Linked DNA regions of Astyanax mexicanus. The protein of the gene in region 3 interacts with the protein of the main gene of each other region in a pairwise test. Links are inferred from orthologs where the notes say so. Each region holds a gene or a part of one and is shown on either strand. Other genes may lie near its edges. The genes, in order: blk, sri, stat3 and cytoplasmic tyrosine-protein kinase BMX.

Region 1 (7,475 bases), on a different chromosome or scaffold from region 3:
ACTTTTTTTAAATACATGTACAGCAATAAATGTTTCTTTGTTGTCTAATACATTTGCTTTTTTGAACCAGCAGTTAGGAATACGTACGTGTGATTTGTTGTTGGCTGCCGAATTATTGTTTAGATGTCCCTTTTCTTTATGTTTCTTCTGACCACTGCAAGTACAGCCCATTCTTAAAAATTCAGAAAAAGAGAAAGGCGTACAGTTTTAGGTATTTCTTAAAGCTGCAATTCTATGGATCATTTTCCCAGACAGGGATTATGACTAGGCTTAAATCCTGTCCGGATAAACTGACCCTATAGCATCTTATCCATCTCATGCAGACCTAGGCTAGCCATACTTCAGTACATTAAAATCTAATTTTAAGGTTTTAGATTTTAAAGCAGTTCATCTTACCTGCCAGCTCACACCCGATCTTTAATGCTTAATGTCAGTCTCCACTCCCGTCAGCACGCAGCTCTGTAGTCCATATGAGCATCTGCACTCATAATGAGGTCTAAGCATGAGGATAAGCTCCAGTCAAACTCTTCACAATGAAACATAACACAAAGCTTAAGGCAAAGTTTAAATCAAAAAGCAAAGTAACTAAAATGGGACATCAGAAGAAACATTTTATAGAAATTAAAGAAACAAGAATAAAGAAAATCAATAGAGATAGTCAAAAAATGTGGAAATAATAACCAGCACCAATATTTAACACAAAGCCCTGGAGACTATTTATTATTATTTATTCTTTATTATATTATTAATTATTTTAATGATGTGTAGTCATATATCCATCTTGTGAATATAATGTACTGAATCTTAAACTTCATTATGACTCTGGCCCAGTAGCGCTATAATAAGGACCATAAAAAAAGATCTTTAAATAGCATGTTTCTGTGACTTTTGAGATTTAACATCCGGGACACTTAAATAAGGATATTACAAATATATATTTTTTTCTTATAAAGCATCACAAGAATTTCCCATAATTGACTTTTGACAAACACTAGAAACCTTACCTCTGGTACGTCTGAAAATGTCCAAATCATCAAATACCAGAATATCTGTTCTCATTTCAAAATATTGATTCTTGTTAAAACAAAAAATTAAATGTATTCAGGTACCTACCTACATCTTCTGCCGCCTTAAATTCGCTGTAAGTTAGAATCCAGTTCTGTCAGAGAATTCTTGAAGAGGTGAGGAACTTCTGTCTCTATTTTTTAACTTTCTGTTTATTTAGTTGTTTTTTTTTTCTCACTTGCTTACATGCACCCTTATGATCATCATCTGAAAAGCAGCTGAAGCCCACTGCGTGCTCTGGGAGACCACATTAGTGGAATTAGATAAATGCAGAGCAGTTGTTGTGTTTATTTAGTCTGCTTATCCCCTCCCTTTCCTCTTCACCAGAGCTCAATTCACAAACTCTGCTGCTTCTTCACTCAGCTTTTACATCACACTCAAAGACAAAATACAGAACAGAGAAAATACAAAAGACACATTTAAAACTAAACTAGAGAAACCAATTGTAATGTGTAAAGCAATCATTTTAACATTTTATAATTGATAACAACATAATATTTGGTTTGATTGGAGTATATCTTTTGGCCATCTGTGGAACTCCTTGAGGGAGTAGCTTTCCGGAATTCTAAAGGAGTTATACAGCGTATTTAGTTCTCTTGGTGTGGCTAATAAACTTCCCTAACCTTAACCCTAATCCTACACAGATCTACTTTTAGATCATACATTGACCACGACTACGGGTCATGATTTATAGCTGATGAATTAATCAGTTGTTCATAAGCCTCTTTTTCACAGTCCACTCTGTGTGAAGGAGTGTGAAAGACATGAAGATAAAAGCAAGTTGTTTTTAGTGAGACCACTTCAGTAGCTCTTAAAATACACTGCATCACAGGATGTGACTTAGCTCACAGATATATATTTCCTGCTTTGACCGATGTGGTTTTCTTCTTTTAGTTACAGTACATTTGCTGATATGTTTATCCTATACTAAAATACCTTCATTTACCCCTAGTATGTTCTAAATTGTAAATATATTTTTTTTAGAAACAGGGTTTAAATATGTTTATGTGTTGTTTAAATGTGCAATTATTACAAACATTATATAGAAAATAATTGAGAAAAATTATTCCCAGCGAGCAAAAGTGGATCTAATTTGTTAGGATTGCCCTCTCTCTCCCCTGTCATTTTTTTATACCGTATTTTTCGCATTATAAGTCGCACTTAAAACCCTATAATTTTCTCAAAAATCGTCAGTGCGTCTTAAAATCTGGTGCACCTTATGTGTGAATTCTACCAGGTATGTTGTAAGGAGCAGTAAAGTTGACTTTACTGCTCCTTACAACATACCTGGTAGAATTGCATTACAGCTTTATACGGGAGTTTCAGTTTAGTTCTCCAGCAGTGTTAGCATTAGCTGCTAATCGCGCTAAGTGCTAGCTTTTTGGCCGTTCAGAGGTATTGTTGGCCTACATTAGCCACTTACCATGGCTAGCACTAATGGTTAGCTGTTAATGCTAATGCTGCTGCACTCAGCTATAGTAGAAATCTGGAAATTTAATCTTACTGTAGATAAATGAAAGCACTTTACTCACCTAAATAAACATTTTTCAGGAGAGAAATCTATGTAGATTAACATTCCCTGCTAGCACTAGCGGTTAGCTGCTAATGCTAATGCTGCTGCACCCAGCTATAGTGAAAATTTGGAAATCTAAGCTTACTGTAAATAAAGGGAAGCGCTTTACTCACATAAATAAACAGTCTGAATGTATGTAATTAGACCAGAAACTAGACGTTTATTGATAGTGCGCCTTATAATCCAGTGCGCCTTATAGCGCAAAAAAATAAGGTAATGATAAACAGTGCAGCCTGTTAATGGACCCTCCATTGCAGCAGTTCTCTAAGATGTGATGGCTCACATCATATAACTCAGTTCATGCTAGCCTTCCATCTTTTAAATATGATATGACTTCCCGTTGTCTTTAAAGACCAGAGATGGCAAGTGAGGAAGTATATGCACTTCATTACTGTACTCAGGTAAATTTTTTAATATGATATATTAAATAAATTATTTCACTTAACTTGTTTTACTTCTAACCTTACTTCCTACATCAGACATTTAGATATCTCAGACAATCTGCTGTTTTCAATGAGACACTCACAGAGGTCAACATTTCAACAGTTTTTTAAACAACTGTATCTTCACAACCAGTAAATAACTGAAAACCAACACAGTTAAGCACACTGTAAAAATAACTGTACATTTACAGTAAGTATCAGTTTTTTAATAAAATAAAGGTAAAGTCTTTTTTGTGTGCGTGAATAAGCCCATTCGGCTCTCCTTTTTCACACACTCTGAGACAGCTAGACAGTGAGCTGCAAATGTGAATCTCTGTGGTAAAAATTAGTTTAAATATAGTTATATAGTTAGCTAGCTAGCTTAGCATAGCTACGTATACCAGTAGGTATAAACAATAGCTAATTGTCCAGCTCATTTTTTAACTAGTAGATAAAGTTCGGGTATGCTTTGAACAGACCCTAAAACTTGAAAATTTACCGTTTTAATGAGGAAAACAATAACAAAGCTACTGAGCATGTCTGTTCCGACGCTTCCGGTGGCGCTATTTTCAAGTATATAGCTGTCAAAATGAGAGCGCATATTTCGCAAATCTCCCGAAAACAGAGCAAACATATGGTCAGAAATTAGTAAAAAGTGAAAAGGGAAAAAAGGGAAGTTTTTTTCCTCTGATTTAAAACGCTTCCCAGATGTGATCACTACCTTGTTGAAAATGACGCAGTGAAAGCGCACCGCAGTTTGGGAGCATATAATTACTTTCTCAGTGGAAAAAAATATTTGTTCCTGTAGTAGAGAAAGCATCACTATAGTGTATGGTGAGGTTGGAGCAAGTCAAACGCTATCCAAAACGTACTCTGCATGGTTTATAGATAAGAAGGTGGGAGAAGTTGTGAGCGGACACTGTAACTGCAGGCAGGTCAGCAGTGTGAAAAACAAAAGCAGACGTGTTTACTATGGAGGACCAAAAATGACATAAGTATAAATAAATAAATGTTTAAATAAAAAAATGAATAAATAAATAAATGTTGACATAGATAAATGCACATATAAATGAATAAATAAATATAAAAATAAGAAATGTATTTATTAATTAATTTATTTACCTATACAATTATTTGTGCACGTATTTATTTATTTATATATATTTATTTATTTATACATTTATATGTGCATTTCTATATATATTTATTAATTTCAACATTAATTTATTTATTCATTTATTTGTTTACATATGTATACATTTATATGTGTATTTATTTATACTTATGTAATTTTTGGTCCTCCATAGTTTACTTGTTCAAAGAACAATTTGACCTAATTTTCAATGTTTGTGACTCTCAGATTAGGTAAAGTTTGCATTCATGTTAAATTAAAAAGTTACGTCCACTGTTTTGAACGCTGTTTACCGCTGAACGGAAGTGTCCTAGGAACAGCGACGTCACTTCCTACGCTCATGAATATTCCTCCGGTCTATTTTCATCTTTTCTAATTAACATCACATTAGTTGTGTGGGTGATCACCGTGCAGTTAGCTACTTAGCTTGCTAGCTGTCTAACCACCAAGCAGTTAACTGAGCTGAGCTATACATCTACAGTGTGTGTTCAATTTTATAATTAGCTGTTTAATACAACTTTATGTAAAGTATACTGCAGTATACATGTATTAGATATGTCTCAGTAGTGGCAGGAAACATTTAAAATATTAAAAATAATGAACGAAATTATATTTGAAAAAGGGGGTTTTCCAACCTATGTGGGGTTCTGTTTTATGTATACATTCGTTTTCCCAGTAATGCATGTTTTGTTTTCAACAAAATATCCTCTTTTGTTACATTCTGTTTCTAGAATTATTTATATATATATATATATATATATATATATATATATATATATATATATATATATATATATATATATAATAATTTGTAAGTACATTTTGGAGCTGTAATTATACAAAAGTAAAACATATAATGTATTTATGAGTTTTTACGAAAGCGTAGAACTTCCATATGTAGTAGTTCTATTCCATATGTGTTCCTTTATCATTTTTAAGTCTTTAATCAACAAAGCAAACATTTTTTACACATTTTTCATTGTTCCAGGATAAACTGAAAGAAGCAATGTTCTTGCAAGAACAAAACAAAATCATTGGTGGGATCAGAACCTACCTGAAATCATTGTGCAGGGCAGAAACACCTCCTAACAGGACACCAGTCCATCACAGGGTTCCACACAAACGCAGACTGTGTTTTTGGAAGGTAGGGGGAAACCCAAAGTACCTAGAGAGAACCCACACAGACACATGGGAAACATAGCAACTTTCCTGTCTATCTTTGATGTCTTGTAAGATGTATGTTAAAATACAAAATAAGGGAGGGATCTAAGGTCTGCCTTAGGGAACCAAACTGAGTTATGAATTTACACATGCTCTAAATAAAAAAGTCTGAAAAGTCTGAAAAGCTTTAATGATTCAGGACATGGTTGGGTGAAAACATGTACAGGTTCTAATGCCCCCTACAGGATGTAAATGGAAGTAAATGTTTCTTCTGGACACTTTGGCTGTTTAATGTTACAGTTCTCATACCAAACCATTTTGCAAAATTAACAGAATTCAGAATCAGTAGAGCTTAAGTGAATTTTAAGTTGATTCTATAGAACAATAAATTGAGCAGTGACTCTATTGGGATGTGATAGTTCTAAAAGTAAAAAAATAAAAAATACACTCAGTTAACTAGGTATTCCCCCACCCCTACACGTTAGAGTTTTGAAAAGCACAACAAAGCCATTAATCACCAATTTCAGTCTTCCAGTGCTGTGTATTGTATACATAATATGAGGGGCATTGCAAGCCAAGCACATTCATGCACTACTAACATTACTTGGTGTTTATAATTAACTAATAATTTGCAAATAAAAGTGTACAACATTCTAGAACTATACAAAATATAACTGATTGGGTTTTTTTTGTATTCATATGGGCAAACAAGACAAGTGTATTGAAAGTGTAAAAGGCAGCTGTTTCCTCCGGTTTGGTTAGCAGTAGAAAGAAACAGCACACACACAGAGTTTGCTTTGTTTCTGTGGTCGTTATTGTGGTGTGCATCTAAAAAGCGAGCTGTTTCATACCGACCAAAGCTATCTGGGGTACCTGTGCACCACTTGATTGCATGTGTTTTATTGTACTGTTTAGAATATGTTGTGTCTGTCTAGCAACTAGACATACAGCTACAGTCAGAAGTTCACACATACTCATCACTCATCATGTCATGGCAGTCATGAGCTTAAAATAATTTTGGAACTGTTCGCACACCTTTAATAAAAAATCTAGAAACTATCACACTTTTCAAAACCCAATGTAATTCAAAGTGTCTCCCAGGTAATTAATTAAGTCTTGCTGAAAGTTTTTTGTAAAAACTTTTGAAATTCTTTTGTGTTGAACTCATGATTGACTACAGCTGGTCCAGAAACAAAGGGTTTATATGACAGCATTGATTGTACGAGTAAGAAATGTATCATACAAACACTTCTAAACAACTATTGTCTCATTGCATGACAATTAGTTCAACTTATTGTTCTGTCTCGCAATGTTTTTGTGGGGGGTGTAGCCACTCTACTGTAACCTGTTACCCTCAGTTAAGAGGGAATTGCATTTACAGGGCAAGCCACAGGTCTGTTCAGGCTTCTGAAAAAAAAATTAACTGTTTACAGTCAAATTACAAGTCATTATAGACTAAGAAATTGCTGTCCCAAAAAATCAGCCCTTCCTTCAGCAAAGACATCTTTAAGCTTATGTTTACCACCAATCACATGGGCACATAAAAAGACATCATATGGAGGAAAGTGTTTGGTGGAGTAATAGGTAAAATATTAAACCACAAGTGTGTGGTGGTGGTAGCTGTCATGAATGAGAGGAATGGAGAGGATGGACGTAAGTGCAGATAAATAATTGTATTTATTAAATAAACAAGAAAAATAAATACAGAAAACAAAACACGGGTAACGCTAAAAACTTATGAAAAACTTACAAAAAAAACAAGACTAGGATAAGGATTAAACTTAGACAAATGCAAGGAAACTAATTAAACTAGAAACTCTAACTTTAAACAAAGATTAACTAGAAAATACAAAACAACTGACCAAGATTCTAAGTAACACAAAACACAACCTCTACTCACGAATATACAGTCACATAGATACAAAAGACTCCACAAGGCAACACTCATACAAGAGGCTATTTATACACAAGGAGGGTGAAGACAGGTAATGAGGGGGCGGGGTTACAAACAAGACACAAGGTGACAACACTAATGGCTAGGGCTGGGCTAGGGCGGGGCTAGGGTGGAGACAGAACAATAACAAAACAATGCCATGTGCTCAAAAAAGCACATGGCTGGAAA
Region 2 (7,616 bases), on a different chromosome or scaffold from region 3:
TCCATCGCAAATCTGTGGTCAGGCACGTAGCCTGCTTGCTCGTTACACTGAACATGGGCTTATTAAAAACGGTAACCGGTTGATTAATAAAACGGAGCAGTGAGTGTTAAAATGAACATAACATTGTAATGTTCTTCTGTCTCTTTATTTTCCTTATTCAGAACTTAACTTCTGCCCGCCCGTCAGGTTCACATAGTCAGGCTACCATTACCTCTGGTTTTAGTTTTAGTTTTTAGGAAGTGTTTAGATAATTGTTATAGTTAAGGTTATAATAACGAAACTTGTTTTTTGTACAAATGTTTCATTTTAGAATAAAAACGTTTGCACCGATTGTTCAGTGTTCAATCCAGTTCAGTCAAAAATAAACATTTTATGTTCAGATATTTTTATTGTTTTTTTTTCTTCCAAGTATCGTTTTGGTATCGAGAATCGTGATACTACAGTTGGTATCGGTATCGAAGTCAAAATTTTGGTATCGTGACAACCCTAGTGGAGAACTACAAACAATGAATCGATACAACAACCAGTCAAAGAGAAATTCCACACTGCTTATCAAATAATGGCGTGAGGAAGTTCAGGAGATGTCATGGTCAATGCAATCGCCAAATTTTGAGCCAATTGGGAACCTGTGGTACTGTGTTGGGAAATGTGTGGAGAACATACACCCAAACAAAAAAGAGGGTCAGTGTAATGTTTCAACATTTATATACTGTATATTTCAATAGTCAATTTTTAACACAACAGTCTGTAAATTTAGGGGATTATGAGATTAAGAATATTAGCTTTGGGCAACAGACAACACAAAGATGGTAAGCAAGTGAGAGGCCACACCCAATATGCAAATATATGGTGCCAGGAGCCTTATGGGAAAGCTGTATGAACAAACACTGATGAAAATGCATTGACACGTGTAGTATACTAAAAGTTGGATGAAATCACATTTTTTCATTGGCTCAACAATCATTTTTAAGTTTTCAGGTTAAAGTTCTGAGTGTATTTTTTTGAATTTCGCTGGCCGGTAAGTTCACTCAGCTTGATAATATTAGTTATTCTGGTGAAATACAAAATCACTTTTTAGGGTGCTCTTGTGAGAGTGTGTAATTGCACAAAGCATGTGAAAGAGTACATTCAATACAAGTTAATGAACAAGAACTGCTGGTTTAACGTAATTCCAGTGCATTGGAGTTGCATTGCATTTGTTCCATAGTAATACCAGTGGGGTAAATAAAAAAGTCAGAAACCACAAGTAGTTCCAAAGGGGTTTAACCTCTTAGACCCCGAATGTCCTTCAATACTAAATTAAAAATAAAAACACTGTCTCTATTTCTGCAGTTTTTCACTTTTTGACATTTTGAATCTGGCCAATGTTAAAATTAACATCTAAATTAAGCACGTGGTTTCACTTTTTAATTGCTACATAATTGAAAAACTACTTAACAAATAAAGAAGCAAAAAAGCTTTTAACTGCTTTTCTCAGGCTGTATTAGTTCACTGACATGTATAACCGGTTTCCTAAGCATTAGGATATTATCAAATTTCAACACTTACTGTTACAAAATAATTCCACAAGTGTTCCTGCATTGCTTTAATGCCTTCAATATTAAGTTTGACTGGTACTCTAAACTGTAAACCCACAGTTATTTAGAACTTAAACTTAGGTCTGTTTTCTGTTAAATTTGATATTATTTCCAACTGGTTTTCTCACATTAAGTAATGGGAATAAAAAACCCATTCACTTTTTAATCATAATGTATAAACTACAAGTTTACCAAAAGGTAGCCCTGGGGGGAGGGGGGGGCGACTATACACTGACGGTGAGTGTCAGAAACCTGAAGACACACCCAGAATGCAAATAGTTTGTCGCAACCGACTAAACTCAGTTCTTATAAGTTGAATCAACTCAAAGGACTACATTTAAAATGTATATGAACTGCTCACCTTATTTTTAATAGTTGAGTAATGATGTTTGGAAATATCAAATTTTACATTAAGCACAGTTAATTTGTTCAAACTAATTGTGGATTTACAGTGTAGCTACCATAGAGCTATTTTTTTATCTGTATTTTACTTAAATTAAATGAAGAGAGGATTAAATAAACATTTTTATTCATCTGACCATAACAATTAAAGTAGAATTATTATGCAAATCAATTGATATGACAGCATATTAATTAAATTAACTTACAATTAAGGCATTATGACTATTTTTTTTGTTTGTTTTTTTAGTCAAATTAACTCAAGTTTTAAAGAAACATTTAAAAATGTTAAGGCAACCAGTTCTCAAATAATTTAAGTAATTCAACCTATTCATTGTGGCTTACATTGTGTAGGCCATTTCAACAGATTTATAGCATTTTATCCTAATTAGTCCAGAGAAACCAATAAACTAAGGCCAGAAAAAAACAGTGGAAACACTGACCGAGATATTAACCCTCCAACAAGCAGTAAACACACAGTAAACGGCTAAAACATCTTTAAAAAAGGTAAAAACATCATCACCCATTATCAAATATAATGAAGCTAAGCTACATTATCGACACTAGAGGGTACAGTACTGTGGTTTTGCAGCTCTGCGGGTCAAATACAGTGTAACGGAAGTGAAGCTCTCTGCAGTCATGGCTTTATTTATTAAACGCTAAAAGCTAAAGGCTAAAGCTAGCTCAGTCTCAGTCAGGCAGGATGAGGGTGTGACCCTCACTCAGCTCACACTGAAATCTGGCTCCAGAGCAACTGAAGCGAGACCCTTCAACTCTTCAAAAACAGAGCCGCGGCAGCCCTCCCCTCCCCCGCGCTGCTCCGGTTAATCAGAGCCGGAAAACACTCACCCCTCCGGGCTGTCCTCCGGGTGCAGCTCCGTAACCGTAACTCATGATTTTAACGTAGTTTAAACTGTTCTTCTGCGGCTTCAGGAGGTCAGATGGGAGTCTGAAGTGAAAGTCGACTGAAAACTCGCACTTTTATCTCATTAAAGCCGCTCCCTCTTCCGCAATGGGAGGATCCTGCTGCTCATAAAATATCCCCGTTTTCGGGTAGCAGTCATTTACATATTCCACCCGTTTTCCGGTATCCTGACGATGTGTGCTACCACAGTGTAAACTACAGCTCTGGAACAAATTAAGAGACCACTTCAGTTTTTATAGGTATATGTTTGAGTAAAATTAAAATTGTTGTTTTATACTATGGACAATATTTCTCCCAAATTCCAACTAAAAATATTGTCATTTAGAGCATTTATTTGCAGAAAATGAGAAATTACTGAAATAACAAAACAAGATGCAGAGCTTCCAGACCTCAAATAATGCAAATAAAAAAAAAAAAAAAAACTGTTTTTGTGCATCTTGGCATGTTCTCCTCCACCAGTCTAACACGCTGCTTTTGGATAACATGCTACTCCTGGCGCAAACATTCAAGCAGTTCAGCTTGGTTTGATGGTTTGGGATCATCCATCTTCCTCTTGATTATATTCTAAAAGTTTTCAATTTGGTAAAATCAAAGAAACTCATCATTTTTAAATGGTCTCTTATTTTTTTCCAGAGCTGTATATATGTGATGTGTATGGATAAAAACTGCCTAAATTAAACAGCGGCTAGGATATTTAAATAAAACCAGAAGGTAAATATAAAGTAATCTAATGATACTGTTTCTTGTATTTTTTTAGTTTTATTTTTTTTCATCTGTAACACTTAAACATATAAATGCACCAGAGGAAAATGGAATTATCATTTAAAAAAACAAGAAAACAGTAAAAACTGTGGGTCGGCAGATGTGCAGGTCAGCTAAGTAGTAATTGTCAAACCTTGTCAACCAAGAACATTAAATAAACATTTATTTTTTGGTTGCATTACGTCGCTTAATGTTGATGACGAGGAAAAAAAACTTTAATTAACCATTATTTAACATTATCTGCACATTGTCTAGATGGGTTTAAAGAGCATACACATATTTTTTTCCATTAATAGCTGAAATGTGTTCCTTTGAAGTATTGAAACATATCAATCCAGCTGAAAAATTTCTTTCCTTTATAATTTCCGCCCCTGCAGTGCACTCTCAGGTTCAACTGTATAATAGTGACACTGTGTAACTGTGCCCCTCCCAAACTACCCCTCCAATTTTTTAGCCTTTACCAAGTTCACATGTCTGAACTCACTAGCTTGTAATTTTATCTAAAATATGACTTAATAATAAATAAATAATAAATCCTGCCACATATTAATTTTCTTATTTATATTTTTTTTGACATTTAAAAAAATGCAGTGTAAAAATAAGAGAGGTGATACTCATCTCAAATAATAAGAAATTTTAGGTTCTTGTATTTTAATATTGACCTAAAAAGATAATTAAATCACATTATCAATGGAAAAAGCTGTGATGAGCCCAACTCTTAGAGCTTGTTGTGCAGTAGTTCAGATTATTCCAGAATGTAAACGCTGCCCTCTGCTGGTGATGAAGATGATGTGCTTTCCCTAATCACTTTTTAGAGACAACATTGACCACATAGTGGAGAGCACTATGATTAATATTGGTTTCCAATAAAGTGGCCAGTGAGTGGAAGCACTAAAGTTATGGATTCTAAACAGAAAGTGGCCAGAAAGGTGAAGCTCTCTAAAGTAGATGGTTCTAATAAATTGGCCAGTGAGTGGAAGCACTAAAGTTAAGGTTTCTAATAAAGTGGCCAGTGAGTGGAAGCACTAAAGTTAAAGTTTCTAATAAAGTGGCCAGTGCTTGGAAGTAGAAGGCTGATGTTTCCATTAAAGTGGCTAGTGAGTGGAAGCACTGTGAGGTATGGGCTTTTAATTATGTGGCCAGTGTGTGGACTTAGGTTTAAAATTCAAATTAAAATTAAGGTGGACAGAAAGCTAAATCACTATAAGGTATGGTTTTGTAATAACATGGCCAGTAAATGAAAGACTAATGTTGGGATTTTTAATAAAGTGTTTCTAATAAAGTGGCCAGTGAGTGAAAGCACTAAAGTTAAGGTTTCTAATAAAGTGGCCAGTGAGTGAAAGCACTACAGTTAAGGTTTCTAATAAAGTGGCCAGTGAGTGGATGCACTAAAGTTAAGGTTTATAATAAAGTAGCCAGTGAGTGCAAGCACTAAAATTCAGGTTTCTAATAAAGTGGCCAGTGAGTGGAAGCACTAAAGTTAAGGCTTCTAATAAAGTGGCCAGTGCATGAAAGTAGAGTAGAAGGCTAATGTTTCAAATAAAGTGGCCAGTGAGTGGAACCACTAAGGTATATTTCTAATAGAATGGTCATAAAGCGGATGCACATGGGAGGTGTTTCCATTAAAGTGACCAGTGAATGCATATGATGTAATAGTGATTGGAATGATTCCAATAAATCTTGCTGTTAATAATAGAATCTTATGGCCATATGTTGCACCGCTGACCATTCTTTATACAGCAGTTTAAGTGGGAGCAGTAAGAGGTGCATCACATCCGACTTGAGCAGGAAACTGAATGTCGTGTCTCGTCACAGAAGGGGTGGGTGGCTTGGAATGTCATCTATAATGACCCACCCAGCTCTGCCCACTTACCTTCCACAATCTGCTGGCTGGGTTAAAGCGAACGGAGCATCAAGAGATCATCAATCTGTGTGTAACACTTTGATATGTATCATCAAAACCATTATTTGTTGTGGTCAGACAGACCAGTCTGTAGGCATAGCTTGAGAAGACGCTGTGGTGGACTTGGCTATGATTGCTGTGGACAGCAGGAGAATGAGGACAGCAGTGCTTCATGGATGCATGAGCAACCGACAGTGTGCTATTATGCTGGTAAGAACTTAAAAATATTAGTGTTTTTTTCTTTATTATTTATTATTGTTTTATTATGTATGTATTAGTTATCGTTGGCTCATATCTTCACAAAACCAAAAGTGCTTCTTCTCTGGTATGGATAACCATTTGAAGGACATTTAATTTGTTGGTAAATGTAATGTAGTGTGAAAGAAGTCACACAAAGGTATGAAATATGTTTTTGTGTGATTGTGCACTTAGATATACTGACACTTGTGTTCAAATGGAACACAGAATTAAAATTAAGAAGTAAATAAGAAATTTAGAGCCTGCTGATTAAAGAATGAATGGGAATATGATATTGGGCAAGGCATTGAAGTGTTGGGCCACATACTTGGCATTAGAATTACAGTTTAAAAGGTTAATAAATGAGTGTGGATGGTAATCTTATTAGAAACCTAGAGGTCTGGATATGAAACTGTCTGAGGTTGCCTTGTTTTCCGAGGCGATCGGAAAGCCTGCAGCTGAGTGCCATACCCGATCACAGCAGGCCTGCTGGCACACACTACAGAGAAAGATGGGCAGTGGAATAACGTCATCCTGTAACAGATCCAGAAACAGCCACCTTCACACCTAATCCCCTCTCTCTCTCACACGCCCACGTTTCCTCCTAAAACCACAAATATATCAGTGTAATACATGAAATATATGAATATAATATATGAAAAAAACCAAGCAATGTAGTGATGATGGAATACTTGTACTTGTAAAGACGTTTAAAGTTTAGCATCGGTTTGATGTAAAATGGTCTTAGAGAAACCTACCAAGGTCTTTGTCTGGACAGTAGAGACAGTTACTCCAACAAAAACAGGATAAACTCTTTTTTATTCACTTTATTTCAGAAGAAACAATGAATAAGCAATGAATTTTTCAAGTGCTTTTGTCCTTAGGTTGTAGCTACAGTATTTTGAATGGATGGGTGGATGGATGGATAGACACAGTATCCAGTATGTTGAAACAACACAAATAGATAAGTACAGCCAAAAAAACAGATATATAGAAAAAATATATAGATATACAAAGGGTATATAAAACTTTGGTAGGGTATATAAAACTGCCGTAGATGGTGCAATCAGCCAATAAACAACCTACAGAGCAAAAGTGCAAGATGCAAACGACATTAAATATAAGATAAATTGATTAGGTCTGCTTATATACAAGTATCTACCCCACTAGTACCATTGATTTCTGTGTTATACTTAGTGTTGAAGATTAGTGGCAATTTACTCATTTCTTTCTAAGAATTTTCTTAGATTTGTTCTTGAGAAAAGCCCAAATTGTTCACAACTCTGACCATACAGTGATAAACACCATTGTCCTTGTACAATACACAAATCCCAAATAAGAAAACAATAGTGAATGTCAAAATCTTCATGCAAACTTCATTAATGGGTTTTTGGAAGAAATGTCTACTTTAGAACGTATCTGTAAACAAAATCTGTTCATACTATTCATTACTATTTTTGTCCTTCAGGTGAAACTGACCTCACCCACGAATATATTGAGATAGAGACAGATTCCTGCTTGACTGTAGCTGATCAAGATTTTGAAGAGGTCCACATTGGACAGGAGCTGGAAGACCACGAAGTCTGGTTGGAACAGACCCATCAAACAGACTATGACCAAGAACACATTCACGGAGTGTCGTCTTGCCCTCCGACAAATCACAGAATGAATGAAGGGTCAGAACAGAATAAAGGCTGTTTATGCCCATACAGGACTGTTCATTCAAGATGGGGCAATGAGGCAACCAACCAGTGTCCATGTGTGTCTCCTCAGTGTTTTAATGGTGGGTATTATGTAGATGTATTCACTCTGA
Region 3 (6,952 bases):
ACTCTTGCATTTTTCCAGAAGTGTAGAAGCTGAATGTGCTTTATTTTTAAGTTTAATTTATTTTCATTGAGTTGTTCTGTTCATGTACATTTTTTTACATTAACTGTAAAAAACACGCTTAATCCGGAATAATTGCAAATTTTATGTGGTCCACACAAATAAGCAATTCAAGAATACGCATTATTACACACACGATCAGCCATCAATATTATGATAAGAGTTGTTATTATTAAAATAAAAGATAAGTATGTTGCGGAGTAATATATGGAGTGCTTAAGTTACGGTGCATTACCGGCTGATAATGTCGCTTATAAAACGCCTCTCAGCCAATCAAATTGCAGGGTCAGAACTAACTGTGGTATAGGTTAATAAAGGATATTTTAAACAGAAAATAAGGTGGCCAGTAATAATTATCTTTCTAAATATGAATGATTAATTTTAATAATTCCTTCTAATTATGCAGGTTTTGCTACTGTCGGGTGTCTAAGTAAACAAAAAAATATAAATTATTTTAAAAGCCCTATCCGGACGAGTTTAATTTCTCAGGGGGTCCTGGTGTAATTTTCTATTTTATGGGGGGTCCTCTGTGATTTTATTCCCATCTGGAACGACCACGTATGTGTTTTTCTCAGACGTCCTCTGAAAAAATTACATGCAGCATTACCTACTGTTTTTTGCTAAACTTTGCGGTCAACCAGTAATTTTAGTCTGTTCGGATGCACATCTTTGAATTTCATCACCTCAGGTTTAATGAAATAGCTATTTGTCCACTGTCACCTGCCATAATTACATGTTGGTGTGCCCGTTTTCATGGAAATAAGCGTAAACACAAGCAAAAAACACACTGGTCCACCTGTTTTTTCAATTGCAGTCCTGATGCAAGGGTTTTATCACTGAGTATAAGTGTGAAATATTTTTCAGAGACCCCCCCCTGCGAAACTAATCCTGTCCGACCTGGTCGCGAGGTCAAAGTTGAACCGTGTTGAACTTTGACCGCGGAAAGAGTTAAGCACAGTGGAGGCGTGGTTTATGGGCGTGGAAACGCACCGCTCTCTGCACTGCTCCTACAGCTGGAGAAACTAATGAATCCGATGGGGGTCAGCGTACAGCGGCGCGGCTACGGCGTGCAGTGTGAAAGCACCTCCTCTCTCTCTCACTCACACACACACACACACACACACTGTTCACAGCAGGCAGTGTTCAGAAACGAAACGAGAGGATTCCCTCCATCAGTATACTGGAAGCCGTGACGTCACGGTAGACAGGGACAGCCCCAAAGGAGGTGAAAAATAAAGTGATTTCAAACAGATTTTAGTGTCTCATTTTTGTGAATGTGATGTGCTGCTTATACAACGTAAATACAAAAACACAGCATATAAATTCCATCAAATTAAGAAGATGTAGCTCTAGCTACCATTACAGTTCGCTGCCTTCTTTTTTGGACCAGCCTCTGTTGAGTATATATTTGAGTATATTTTTAAGTGTTCATATTGTTTTAGGATAAGGAACGGCTGCTGATCGGTGCCTGGATGGGACATTCCCCCAACCCCCCCCCCCCCCCCCACCCGCTAAATGTAACGGTTTTGAAAAGCGTAGATTGAGCCTGCGGTTATTCTCATGCTCTCTCTTTCTCTCTTACTCTCTCTCTCTTTCCCCCCTATATCACTTGGTTTATCTCGCTTTCTCTCTCTGTACACCTCTTTTTCCCTGTGTCACTTTGTGTGTACCTCTCTCTATATCTCTCTTTCCCTGTATTACTCTCTGTATCTCTCTTTTTCTTTCCCTGTATCACTCTGTTTATCTCTCCCTCTCTCTCTCTCTTTTCCCTGCATCACTCTGTATCTCTCTCTCTCTCTCTCTCTCTCTCTCTCTCTCTCTCTCTCACACAAACACACACACACACACAGAGATATATTGGACATATTTGCACATGGAGTAACACCATAAAGATGCATTTAGGAGTTGAACACTGCTTTAGTATTTTTACCTTAGTTGTCGTCTATTTACAACAAAAAACAAACATTTCACATTAATTATTTTAAAGAATAATAATAGAATGACCAAAACAAACAAACACACACATACACATTTATAATGTGTCATAGACGCATCATAGACGGGATGATGCCTTACTTAGTGGTAAAGGTAAACAAACAAATAAATAAATAATAGATACTAATCCAAATAATGTATAGTATATATATATATATATATATATATACATATATATATATACATATATATATGTATATATATATATACATATATATATGTATATATATATATATATATATGTATATATATATATATACATATATATATATATATATATATACATATATATATATATATATATAGATAGATAGAGAGAGAGAGAGAGAGAGAGAGAGAGAGAGAGAGAGAGAGAGAGAGAGAGAGAATTATTTGGATATATCACATTCATCCAATCAGACATAAATTATATGTATAATGTAAGGGCCAAAGTAATATAGACGACACACACAGCTATGTTTCACGGTATACACACATACACACACACGCGCACACACACACATGCAGGAGCATCGTGTTCTCAGAACTACACAGCCCAACATCAACCAACTTTCAGATCAGTTATTCTGTATCTGTGGGTTTGAGTCTGAGTCCCCCAGCGCACATTAGTCCACTTATTAAAAATAAAACGTGTATCTATCTATCTGTATTTCACTGACAAAGAATAGTCAGCTAAATAAAAATTGAAAAATTCAAACTGGCTCGTTTCTTGGATGCCTTCCTTAGCTAACCTAGGTTAGTTAACTACTGACTTACCCTCTGTATCCGTGCTTCGCAAATTCAGAAAAAAGGGTGGCAAAAGTCTTCGACCCGCCGATGAGTGAATTAGGCAACCAAAACTGCTTCCAAAGCGTGTAAATATCGAATAAAACGCTATACCAGACTCCCTCAACGACCACTCTTATCCTAACTTTATGGAAACAGCCTGAAAAATGTAAGTCCAGAGAGGTCTGGCTTGAAGGAGGGGCGGGGCGGCTGTAACTTCGCAGTGATTGACAGCGCGTATGACGAATCGCGTTGCACATCCAGAATTTTGTCCAATCGTGACGCAGAAACAGCACCATAAAGGCGGGCTCTGCCGCCAGCGGGTTTGTGCGAGCCAGTTGTTTATTGGTCTGGGTTGGTTGACCCACACGACTTCATTTCCTCCCTCCGGGCTGTCGTTGGCGTACGTGTGCAGCGGAGGGGGCAGCGCTCGCGTTCCTGGAACAGCCCGGCTGGAAGTCATCTGAATTACTGGCAGCGGCGACGTCATCACGGCTTCAATACAGCGAAAGCGAGGTGTTGATATTGATAGGGGGATCGTGACGTTTATCCTCCTGATCAATCCCGCTCCAGCACGACTCTACACCACAGAGCCCTTCAGGAATAGTGTAGTAATAAAGCAGAGACGAAACTATACGAGATTTACTGTATAAAACCTCTACTTTTAAAACGCTTCATTACTTTCACTTTTAAACATTTAACCCATTTATGCCCAAATTTTTCCCAGACATGCAAATATGCAAATCATGTGTTATTAGTAACCCTTTGAAATAATCAAGAATTATTTCCTCCAAAAAAATGAGAAAAGTAGATGAAAAAGTGTGTTTTATTACCGGTCACAATTGTGACCGGTGGGATGATATGCGTATTCTCAATGAAAGGTTGCTCAAATAGTTTTTTTGTTGAAATAAGGGCCTTCTGACAGCAATCACTGAAACAGAATACTTGATCAGGAACTTGGGACTTTCCACACCATAGGAACACTAAGACCCGTGGCAAAATATGTTCAAAATATGTTAACCTTGTTTAATTATTTCAAATACAAATTGCAACAGCATCACTTTAGTGTAACATGTATTGAAACATTTATTTGTAAACATTTTAAATTGTACTTTACTGCAAATCTTTTAATGTTGGTGTAATATTTTAGTACAACATTTACAACTAAATGTAAATTACAGTCAAATACTTCATTCAAAACTTCAGGAATGATGTAAACTGTTGTGTATACTATTAGTAAACAGTGTTGGGCACGTTACTTTGAAAAAGTAATTAGTTATAGTTAGTAGTTACTTCTCCGAAAAGGAAACTGATTTACTAACTGAGTTACTCCACTATAAAAGTAACTGGTTACCAGTAAAAGTAACTACTGGGTTACTTTTGTTACTTGCCTCCGTAACCCCCCCCCCCTCCCCCCCCACCTCCCAGCCCCCAAAGACAACAGCAAAGACAACAATCATTGCTTAGGCGGTTATCTCATCCTCCCCTCCCTTGTAACTCACACACACAACACACACACACACACTTGCATATTTGTCTGTATGCGCAAAGTTAAAAAAAAATAGTTAATTGAGCGTCTAAATAACGTGCAGTAACGGGGTGTTGAAAATGATAACAGTAATTAGTTACTGATTACTCCTTACTGAACACCGTTATTCCCTAATTTAACAAAAAATTGATAATAGGCAGGTATACAGTAACGAGGTAGGCACCTGAGCGAAGTGCTTGATTCTGTTCAACAATCAGTCAGACATTGTATTACAGTAACTTAGAAAATAAAGTAACCAGATATGGTAGTCCATATCTGACCCATCACTATCACAATAACTTATAATAGCATCTTTCTCATTTTGAGGTATGATAGCAACGTTGCATGCCTAAAATTAGTCATCCTAAAATAAAAATATATATAGGTAAGATGCAACAAGAAATTTGTTTGTATATTTAGTATGTGTGCATCTAGATACAACATTCTATCCCACCGGTCACAATTGTGACTGTTTACATGTTTACTCATTCTGCAAACACACCAAAGACATTTGACTAATTACGAATGCATATATCATAACTAAACAACTTCGAGAGCATGTGTACAAAAATATTTGTTTCTATGTTTATTTTAACATACTTTACCAGCCTTTTATTTGGGAGCTTTGAGGCAGCCATCCTCTTCTCAAGATGCAACCAGGAAGTAAACAGCTCTGGTCATGTGACAATTTACTCAAAACATTTGATACTGTCCACATTTAATTGAAACATTGTAATATTTCAATATTTCCTTATAGAGTATTGGGAAATTAACCAGTAACATTTTTAGAGGCTAATAATTAAAAAACATTTTTTGGTCACAATTGTGACCGATGGGTTGAAATGGGTTAATACAGGGGATGCAAGGGGACTCCGCCACTCCCCCAGCTTCCCTCCCTCTATGTATTAAACACAAAGCAAAACCACAACATTCCACCCTGTTTTGATTAATATCAATATGGTAAATCACAGTAATTAATATATTATACCGTTTTCTTTTTACATATGGCTCTTGAAAAAAACACTTAAAAATGACGAGTTTCTTTGATTTTACCGAATTAAAAACTTCTGGAATATAATCAAGAGAAAGATGGACAATCACAAGCCATCAAACCAAGCTGATCTGCCTGAATTTCTGCACCAGAAGTCCAGGCATAAAGTTATCCAAAAGCAGTGTGTAAGACTAGTGGAGGAGAACATGCCAAGGTGCATTATGCATTTATGCAAGGTGCATAAAAAGTTATTCCACCAAATATTGATTTCTGAACTCTTAAAACTTTATGAATATGAACTTGTTTTCTTTACGTTATTTAAGGTCTGAAAGCATCTTTTATTCATTTTCTGCAAATAAATGCTCTAAATGACAATACTTTTTATTTGAGAGAAATGTTGTACGTAGTTTATAGAATAAAACAACAATGCTAGTTTTACTCAAACATTTACTTATCGAAAGTTAAATCAGAGAAACTGAAGTGGTCTTGTACGTTCTTCCAGGAATGTATACTTGTGCATCTCAAAAAATTTGAAAATAATTGAAAAGTGAATTTCTGTAAAACTTATATTTTTCAAGTGTTTATTTAATTTGATTATGATTATGGCTCACAGCCTATTAAAACACAATACAATAATCAGTATCTCAGAAAGTTTAAATATCATATAAGTCCAATTGGTACATTTGGCATTGTGGGCAGTGTACCAAGTCCTGCTGGAAAATGAAATCTGTGTCTCCATTAAAAAGTGCTATATGATTTTCCATGAGAACACTGCACTTACTTTGGACTTGATATAACACAGTGGACCAACACCAGCAGATGACATGTCTCTCCAAACCATCACTGACCATCAGTAGAGGAAGAGTGGAGAGACACACAGTCCAAGCTGCTTGAGGTCTGGTGTGAAGTTTCAGCAAACAGTGAACTTTCCACACCTTTTAAAGGGTCTGTGACACATACGTCACCAACTCAAAGAGCACATATTTTGCAAAACAAGACTTTTTGCATTCCTCTGTATTTCCACCTAGGTCTCAACTGCCACTAAAAAAACCCATCCATCCATTTTCTGTGAGTCAGTTAAAAGAGTTTCATATGCTTCTAGGGCCTGTGCATAGAACCACCCTGGCAGCACCTGTCAGCAGAGTGGGGAGATTTTGCACTGGATTTGGGTCAAGGTCATGGTGGTCAAGCACTGAAGTAATGCTGGTTACAATGGTTGATGAGTTTGGCCATGCTGATCATCAGGGTGGAATTGCTGTTTGAACAGTTTTGGTCAGCCAGCGAGGTCTTACTGGTTATGCTCATCAACCAGTTTGGTCATATTGGTCAGCCAGTAGGTGCTGAATGAGTAACATTGCCTATCATAGAAATGTAAATGAAAATGATTTATAGACTAAATATAGAAGAGTAATTTAGGGTTCAGATATATAGATCAGGATCTGTTCACAGTGTACAAAGACCAGAGTCCAGCACAGTTTGGTGACTTCCCATGTCAAACACACTTGATTCAATTGCGCTGTGCTGACATCTGGGCGTCTATGACTGGGACTGATGCCAATCTATAATCCCTGTCCCCCAGTCCCTCAGGAAAAGAACTGCTGACCCCTGCTCTATAG
Region 4 (7,318 bases), on a different chromosome or scaffold from region 3:
GAATCCTTGAATTTACTTAAGCAATACAAGTTTTTATCATATGTGTACCACAGCCGTGCTACTTAAATCACACGGAACTAGTTTACACTGAGAAATGCAGTCAATATTTTGATAAACAAAAGCTTAGCTAAGTTAGTTAGCTAGCTCAGCTCAGCTAACTCATTATATATATATATATATATATATGTGAAAAATCAACTTAAACCTGTAATTTTGGAAATGTGATCAGACTTCGATTTAACCCAACTATTAGCTATAGTTTGCAGGTTTGAGCTAAATGGCTAACCTAGTGTATTGCCCAGATAATTAGTCGCTGTTGCATCATGATATACTAACACCATATTTTTGTTCATGCACAAATTATAAGGAATCATGTAAGTGTGAATATGTGTGTGTTAATGACTAAAACCTGAAAGGGAAACTCTCTCTGTGCAGGTGCATTGTCTTCAGGCTCAACTATCTCCACACAGCAAATTTTCTCTGCTGCCACCACTCCCTTCTTTGCCTTCCGCTTCTGCAACAATGAGAAAAAGCACACAATAATGCATTGAAAAAAAAAATACACACAAAAAGGCTTGTCTGAATAAATATTCATGCATATGCATTAAATTCAAAAATATTATCTTACCCCCTGCATAAAGCATAAAGTAGCAATTAAATTCTTCCTCAGACTGAGAGGGGAAAAACCTTAGAAGGAACCAAAACTCATAAGGAGAACCCTCCTTTCCTTGATGACACCAGACAGCGGAACAAATAACAGAACAGTTGTAAGTCTTCCTGCCACATCTTCCTTTTGCTATGCTGTGCTTATGCTGCTTTCAAGTCATGTCAGAAACATTTTAGAAAATGATTGCACATAATTTCCACCACGAGTTTGTATTTATCAGTGGGAATGATATTGGTGGAATTTTAATAAATAAATCTGGGAAATATCAGATAAGTATATGCTACTGAAACATCTACTGGATAAAAATATCTCTTTATTATATTAAATGTACTATTTCTTAATGTGTTTTGTAGTAACTGGAAAAATAATTGGCAACAGGAAGACAGAAGTAAAAAATAAATAAAAAAGCATTTATAACAAGTCGGTTTGTGTTGTTTCCAACCAAATCAACTGGAACAGAAATATATATTTAATCCCTGCTTTATTATAGTCAGCATTTTACTTGTAACATTAGCCAGGGGTCTGCAATTAAGTTTGGCCACTGGACAGATATTTTCCAAGCCATTATATGGCTTGTATGATGTGTAATAGGATGGAATGCTACAGACTAGTAGCTCTCCAGCCCAGAGGGTTGTTGAACCCAATTGCAGAACGGTTGAATTCAAAGCAGGTAAACAAAAAAAGAAGAAAGGAAAAATAAATAAATAAACACAATACTCCTCACACGGGATTGAACCCGTGTCGTCAGGGTTAAGGTCCAATACACTACCGCTGCCCCGGCTAGTGAATTGGGACACGGCCAAGAAAATACGCCCTTATAAGGAGATAGGGAGCCCTAGAATGGACGGGAAAACAAGAACAAGCAGAAACTCACGCTGAGCACAACAGAAAGTCAGGGGAGGAATGTAAACAAAAGTTTACCAGAGAAGCATTTTATTTGTAATTTATTTAATTAGTAGTGGATATTTAGTAGAATTAGTAAGTAGTATATATGCCATGTACTGTTATATTAAAGACAAATAAATAAGCGGACAAGCAAATCAACAAATAAGTAATTCAATAAATAATAAATAAATAAAAAATAGAGTATGGTTAATAGAGTAAGGCAACACTATGCCATAGGATTAAAATCCTACTTAAGGAATAAAAACCTTACTTAAGCCCTATCTGGACGGGATTATTTCCTCTGGGGGACGTCTATGAAAAAAAATATTTCACACTTTTACTTTTACAAATTTAGCATCCAGACTGCAATTGAAAAAACTGTAGGACCTGTGAGTTTTTTGGCTTTCTCGGTCACATGACATCGTTTTCAGTAGCTCCTCTATTTTCATTTGCTTTTGTGTTTGCTTTTTCTCCGTGGAAACGCACGCCCAAAGTGTAATTATGGTGCGTGGCAGTGAACAAATAGCTATTTTATTAAACGCAAGCTGATGAAACACCGTAACGAAAAACAGTAGATAATTCAGCCTGTAATTTTCTTAGAGGACGTCTGAGAAAAACACATACATGGTCGTTCCGGATGGGTATAAAATCATAGCGAACCACCTACAAAGAGAAAATTGCCTCAGGACCCCCTGAGAAACTAATCCTGTCCAGGTAGGGATTTAGTGTGAATAGGCCTTGAAGGGCTTAACTGTAAACAACAATCTGCTCCTTTCCTATTCTATATTTATGAACTAATAAGCCTGAAAAAATGCAATGAAAAGCCATACCCCCTTTTCATGTTCGTAGTAACTCAGAGTCTTATTGGTCAGTATGAAGAGCCGCTCCTTATAGTTTTTGGGTGAGATTTTCTTCTTCTGCTGAGACATCTTCAGCAGGATGCCTTCTTTAACCACCCCTTCTTCGCTCATCAGGACAACTGGACACAGGCACCAGAGAATCACACAGAGACACACAGAGAATAAGACACACTACTAATAAAACTTTGTTGTTAGAGTGCTTTACAACAATGTTTATAGCAGCATAGAGAATGATTGCTTTATTACGTGCAATTAAGCAAAACATCAACATCCTTTCAGCTGTGTGCACCTCTACCTCTAACTGTCATAACCTGAGAAAACAGTATTAAGCAGTATACAACCCCCGATTGACCATACTTAACACAAAACACCACGCTCAGTAGAATAAAAACGAAAAAAGGAAAACACTGCTGTTTTACATTCCCTGCATATTTCCACTATCACAACTAGGAGCATCAGTGTATCATTGGTATAAAGTCTCACAATAAATTAAATCACATTAAGGTTTTATAACGGTAAATATCATACCTGTGCCGGCTGAGAAACGATCGTCTGGCCTTTTGGGTCCCGAATTAAACTATAGCTGCAAAAGCCTGGTGCAGTTTCCTGATATCTGTTAAAAGAAGGTGCTGCTTCACAAAGGCCTCTGTGTGGCAGCAGGGCACTGTTTGCTTAATGTATTTGCATGACCCTGACACTATTCAGAACAAACACTAACTTCCTTTGTATGAAACCACATACCTACACAGGTCCATCAGAGGAATACATAGGTATGCTAAGTAAAGAAAAAAGAAAAAAAAAATGCTTGCAACTCTTCCAAATTAAAATTATTTTTTGTATCTTTTTTCCAACTCTGAATCTAATAACAACTGTGTTTAACTATTCAAAACATGCACTGGTCAAACTCAGCTTTACTTAAAAGCTGAAAGCTACTTAATTTTTTAAAAGGTTTCTAAACTGAAGTTCGTTACCAAACTCATGTGAAATGATAGCCTGCATGTTCAATTATTTGATATTTATGACAAAAAAAAAAATCACTCCTGTTAATGGCATTCATTCCTGTTACTGGTAATCACTCATGGTACTGGCACTCACTCCTGTTACTGGAACTTACTCCTGTTACTGGCACTCATTCTTGTTAGTTTTTATGTTTGGAGTAATTTTTAGGATGGAATCAATTACATTGTCATTATACAGGGGTTGGACAGTGAAACTGAAACACCTGTCATTTTAACGTGGGAGGTTTCATGGCTAAATTGGAGCAGCCTGGTGGCCAATCTTCATTAATTGCACATTGCACCAGTAAGAGCAGAGTGTGAAGGTTCAATTAGCAGGGTAAGAGCACAGTTCTGCTCAAAATATTGCAAAGCACACAACATTATGAGTTACATACCAGAGTTCAAAAGAGGACAAATTGTTGGTGCACGTCTTGCTGGCGAATCTGTGACCGAGACAGCAAGTCTTTGTGATGCATCAAGAGCCATGGTATCCAGGGTAATGTCAACATACCACCAAGAAGAACAAACCACATCCAACAGGATTAACTGTGGATGCAAGAGGAAGCTGTCTGAAAGGGATGTTCGGGTGCTAACCCGGATTGTATCCAAAAAACATAAAAACCACGGCTGCTCAAATCACGGCAGACTCTCCTGTTTCCACAAGAACTGTCTGTTGACATTGTTTATCGCAATTATGTCTGGAACACAATGTTGTCTAAACAAAAACGGTTATCGTGACAGATAATGCAGAAGTGTTAATTAAGTCAGGAGTCCAAATATTGCATTATCTTACTGAAGTATAAATTTAATTATAATAAAAAAATAATATTTTTTTATATCTACTTCTTACATTTACACACAATTATCTGTACTTTCTATGCATTATCAGCTCCTGTGGCATTAATGTCCTTTATGGCATTATTCCCTTACATTACTTTTACTTTTTATACTTAAAGTAGGTTTGAAACCAGTACTTTTACACTTTTACTTGAGTAAAAAGCTTGAGTTGATAATTCCACTTATACTGGAGTTTGTTGTGTGTGTGCGTGTGTGTCTGTGTGAAGAGCTAAATGGTCTCTCTGCTGTGCGGCATGAGTATTTTTAACACTGACGTTCAGCCTTGGGAGCCAATCATAGTGCAATGAATGTAAAAACGCAGAACAGATAGAGTTACAGGACTCACACTGTTTTCAAATGCCCCCTGTGACAGAGCTGTGGTGGAAACTGTGAAAACATCTCAATAACCAGGTACAGAACAACCTCTTTTAACCTTCAGCAAAGTCATTAATGTGTGTAGATATGTTACACAGTTACACATGAAAAAATGTTACAGTCTGAACCAGCTGTACATTATGATATATTTAAGTATGTTTAATACTCTTAAGAAACAATGGAATAAGATAAGAAGTTCAATTCTGCATTTATTGCATTGTTACAATATCGTTCAATGTCTATTAATGAGAAAACCTTAATTATCAAGAATCTTGATGTGATTGAAAGAGGTATAAATAATTGTATACATTAAAGCTATACTTAAGCTTCTGTTATAAGTGATTATGACCATGCTGCCTGATTTAGGAGTTGGGCATCATATATTTTCCATCATAGGCATAGCTAGCCCTTTTAAAATATGAGTCCCAGCACCCCAAAAGTGAAAATAAATAAATATTTTTTGTTGTTTTTTAATGGAAGTTTGTCTCTTAAAACCTAAAAAAATGTTAGAAATTAAATATACTAATTTCCACTAAACATGCAAAAGGTTTTTCAAAAGGCTTTCTCTCCACTCTGTTGTGCACTGAGCATGCACGCACACACACACAACCGCACACACACTTCGACACACACACACACAGGCCTGTCACAATAACAGTTTTAGTGTGGACGATATATTATTCCATAAATAATTGCCGTAAATGATATTTATTGTCATTTTTAGATGCTTCATGCCACTGGTATAATGATAATTTCCTTGCATAAAATTACAATTGCAGTAATGAACTTTTTATTCTCAAGAATATTCAGACATTTAGACTGACATAAAACATATTTCTAATATTCCAAATAAAAACAAAATGAAACCACAGTTTTTAAAGTGAACATTCTGGTCATGCACATTAATGTGCTCTTCTCCCTTAACAAGTATAATACAATAGGATATTAAAGTCACCAAAAATGTGTGGATTTTGAACAATTCAATAATCTGACATAAATAAAGTAAAATTGATAAATAAAATTATAGAGGTTGTACAAACATACTGTATGATCAGTATATTAAGTAATTATTGTGACAGGCCTGTGTGCACAAATCAAACAGGACTATTTATGCTGTTATTGTATGACACGTTATTAATTTAGTGAGCTAATTCTGCAGGCTCACAATTAGAGCTTAGATTGTCTGCCCGAACCCGACCTGATTCGAGGCCCGACCCGAAATTGGGTCGGTTCAGGCCGAGATTTACCACCACATTCCTCGGGCCAGGTCGGGCTCCAGAAAATAGTCTGAGATGTAGGCATCTGTTTTTTAATTATATTTTTATTTTAAAATAAAGCTCTGGTGTGATAATCACAATGTTGCTAAGTAACCAATTATTATTGTTAACGAAAACGAACCAAATAACAAAAACTGAAAGTGAAATAACTAATTTATTTTTAAGTGCTGTTTTCACTCCCGCAGTTGTACAGAGGGGGGTGTTGTGCCGATTCTGTCCGCGAAGCGGGAGTCAGATTCAGCAGGGAGTCTGATTCGGCACAACAGCAAAATAGCAAAATACGACAGAAAACACTGAGAGAATTATGTATGGGACTAGAATATGAGCACGAGGAGATAAAAGAGAAACAGGAGATACAGTATGTGAGAACCTTTACACCAGAACACGCAAATCTCTCTCTCTCACGTGAACTCCTTCGCATTTGACTTGCAGCACTGTGTGTAGCTGTTCTTAAAAATCATTTTAATTAAATAATAGTTCTATGCTTCTATGTTACAGTGTTATTTAACATAATTTTGATCATATTTCGCTCATTCAAACAGCCCGAAAACAGCCAGTTTATGGGTCGGGCGGGTCGGGTCAGGCTCGGACTCATAATGATAGTTTATGGTTTGGGTCAGGTCGGGCTCAGGCAAAATGTGCACGGGCTCAGGCTGGGTCGGGTCGGATTTTTTGGGCCCGTTCTAACCTCTACTCACAATCATCCACTATCCAGTGTTAGATCCTAGAATCGCCCATTTTTTTTATATATATCTTTTGTCCTTCTATAACATTAATCTTACTGAATGTATTAGTCTAGAATGTATTAGTCTAGAATGTATTAGGCTTTAATATCAGCACACTGGCTGACCAATGGCACAACATGGTGTATTTTATCTCACGTCAGTTTAAACAGTGGACAGTGGCTCATTGACAGCGTGCAGCATCAGCTTACAGAATGGAAAAGCATCAGACAAAACCAACATAGAGAGCACTGTGTGAACGATTGCAGCAGAAATGAAGACTGCTGATAATGACAGTAATGTGTTGTTGGTTCTGAGTAATAAAGTACAGAAATACTGTGTTACTGTCCTTCTGAAGCCACCACAGCATATACAGCCAGTCTGTTACTCAGTGGTCATGCATGGCACTGCATGGCAGAGTGAAGAGAAAGTGGATTAAAGGAGAACTCCGGTGTGAAGTGGGGAGCACGAACTTTTGTCAAAAAGCCCACATCTGTACACCCCTAGCATTCTGTAATACAGCAATACATTTAAAAGTATTAGCTAGACCTATAAGTTACACCTATGAAAGAGTGTATTCTAAGATATAATGTTGCCAACATTTGCTTTAGCTGATTTTCTAATAAATGATGTATTATGTCTCCCTCTCTTTGAGATGCTGGATGTTTTGATAGTGGGAGGAGGTCCTCATGCTCTG

What was found.
Region 1: the proteins of stat3 (region 3) and blk interact in binary tests that used the Homo sapiens proteins (3 or more experiments, as listed by UniProt). The link is inferred for Astyanax mexicanus from reciprocal best matches to the Homo sapiens genes STAT3 and BLK.
Region 2: the proteins of stat3 (region 3) and sri interact in binary tests that used the Homo sapiens proteins (3 or more experiments, as listed by UniProt). The link is inferred for Astyanax mexicanus from reciprocal best matches to the Homo sapiens genes STAT3 and SRI.
Region 4: the proteins of stat3 (region 3) and cytoplasmic tyrosine-protein kinase BMX interact in binary tests that used the Homo sapiens proteins (3 or more experiments, as listed by UniProt). The link is inferred for Astyanax mexicanus from reciprocal best matches to the Homo sapiens genes STAT3 and BMX.

The regions. Positions count from the first base shown.
Region 1 is NC_064408.1:70,998,070-71,005,544, forward strand, and holds the start of blk (tyrosine-protein kinase Blk), read right to left. Parts: upstream 3,013-7,475; 5' UTR 1,114-3,012; intron 527-1,113; 5' UTR 397-526; intron 173-396; 5' UTR 172-172; coding exon 88-171; intron 1-87. UniProt on the Homo sapiens protein: Non-receptor tyrosine kinase involved in B-lymphocyte development, differentiation and signaling. B-cell receptor (BCR) signaling requires a tight regulation of several protein tyrosine kinases and phosphatases, and associated coreceptors.
Region 2 is NC_064411.1:40,018,472-40,026,087, forward strand, and holds the start of sri (sorcin), read right to left. Parts: upstream 3,016-7,616; 5' UTR 2,871-3,015; coding exon 2,826-2,870; intron 1-2,825. Other genes in the region: uncharacterized protein LOC103031164, read left to right, coding at 5,611-5,776, 7,272-7,586. UniProt on the Homo sapiens protein: Calcium-binding protein that modulates excitation-contraction coupling in the heart. Contributes to calcium homeostasis in the heart sarcoplasmic reticulum. Modulates the activity of RYR2 calcium channels.
Region 3 is NC_064426.1:26,731,806-26,738,757, forward strand, and holds the start of stat3 (signal transducer and activator of transcription 3), read right to left. Parts: upstream 3,019-6,952; 5' UTR 2,809-3,018; intron 1-2,808. UniProt on the Homo sapiens protein: Signal transducer and transcription activator that mediates cellular responses to interleukins, KITLG/SCF, LEP and other growth factors. Once activated, recruits coactivators, such as NCOA1 or MED1, to the promoter region of the target gene.
Region 4 is NC_064430.1:16,756,682-16,763,999, reverse strand, and holds the start of cytoplasmic tyrosine-protein kinase BMX, read right to left. Parts: upstream 3,020-7,318; 5' UTR 2,941-3,019; intron 2,532-2,940; 5' UTR 2,524-2,531; coding exon 2,383-2,523; intron 515-2,382; coding exon 410-514; intron 1-409. Other genes in the region: uncharacterized protein zgc:113276, read left to right, coding at 7,277-7,318. UniProt on the Homo sapiens protein: Non-receptor tyrosine kinase that plays central but diverse modulatory roles in various signaling processes involved in the regulation of actin reorganization, cell migration, cell proliferation and survival, cell adhesion, and apoptosis.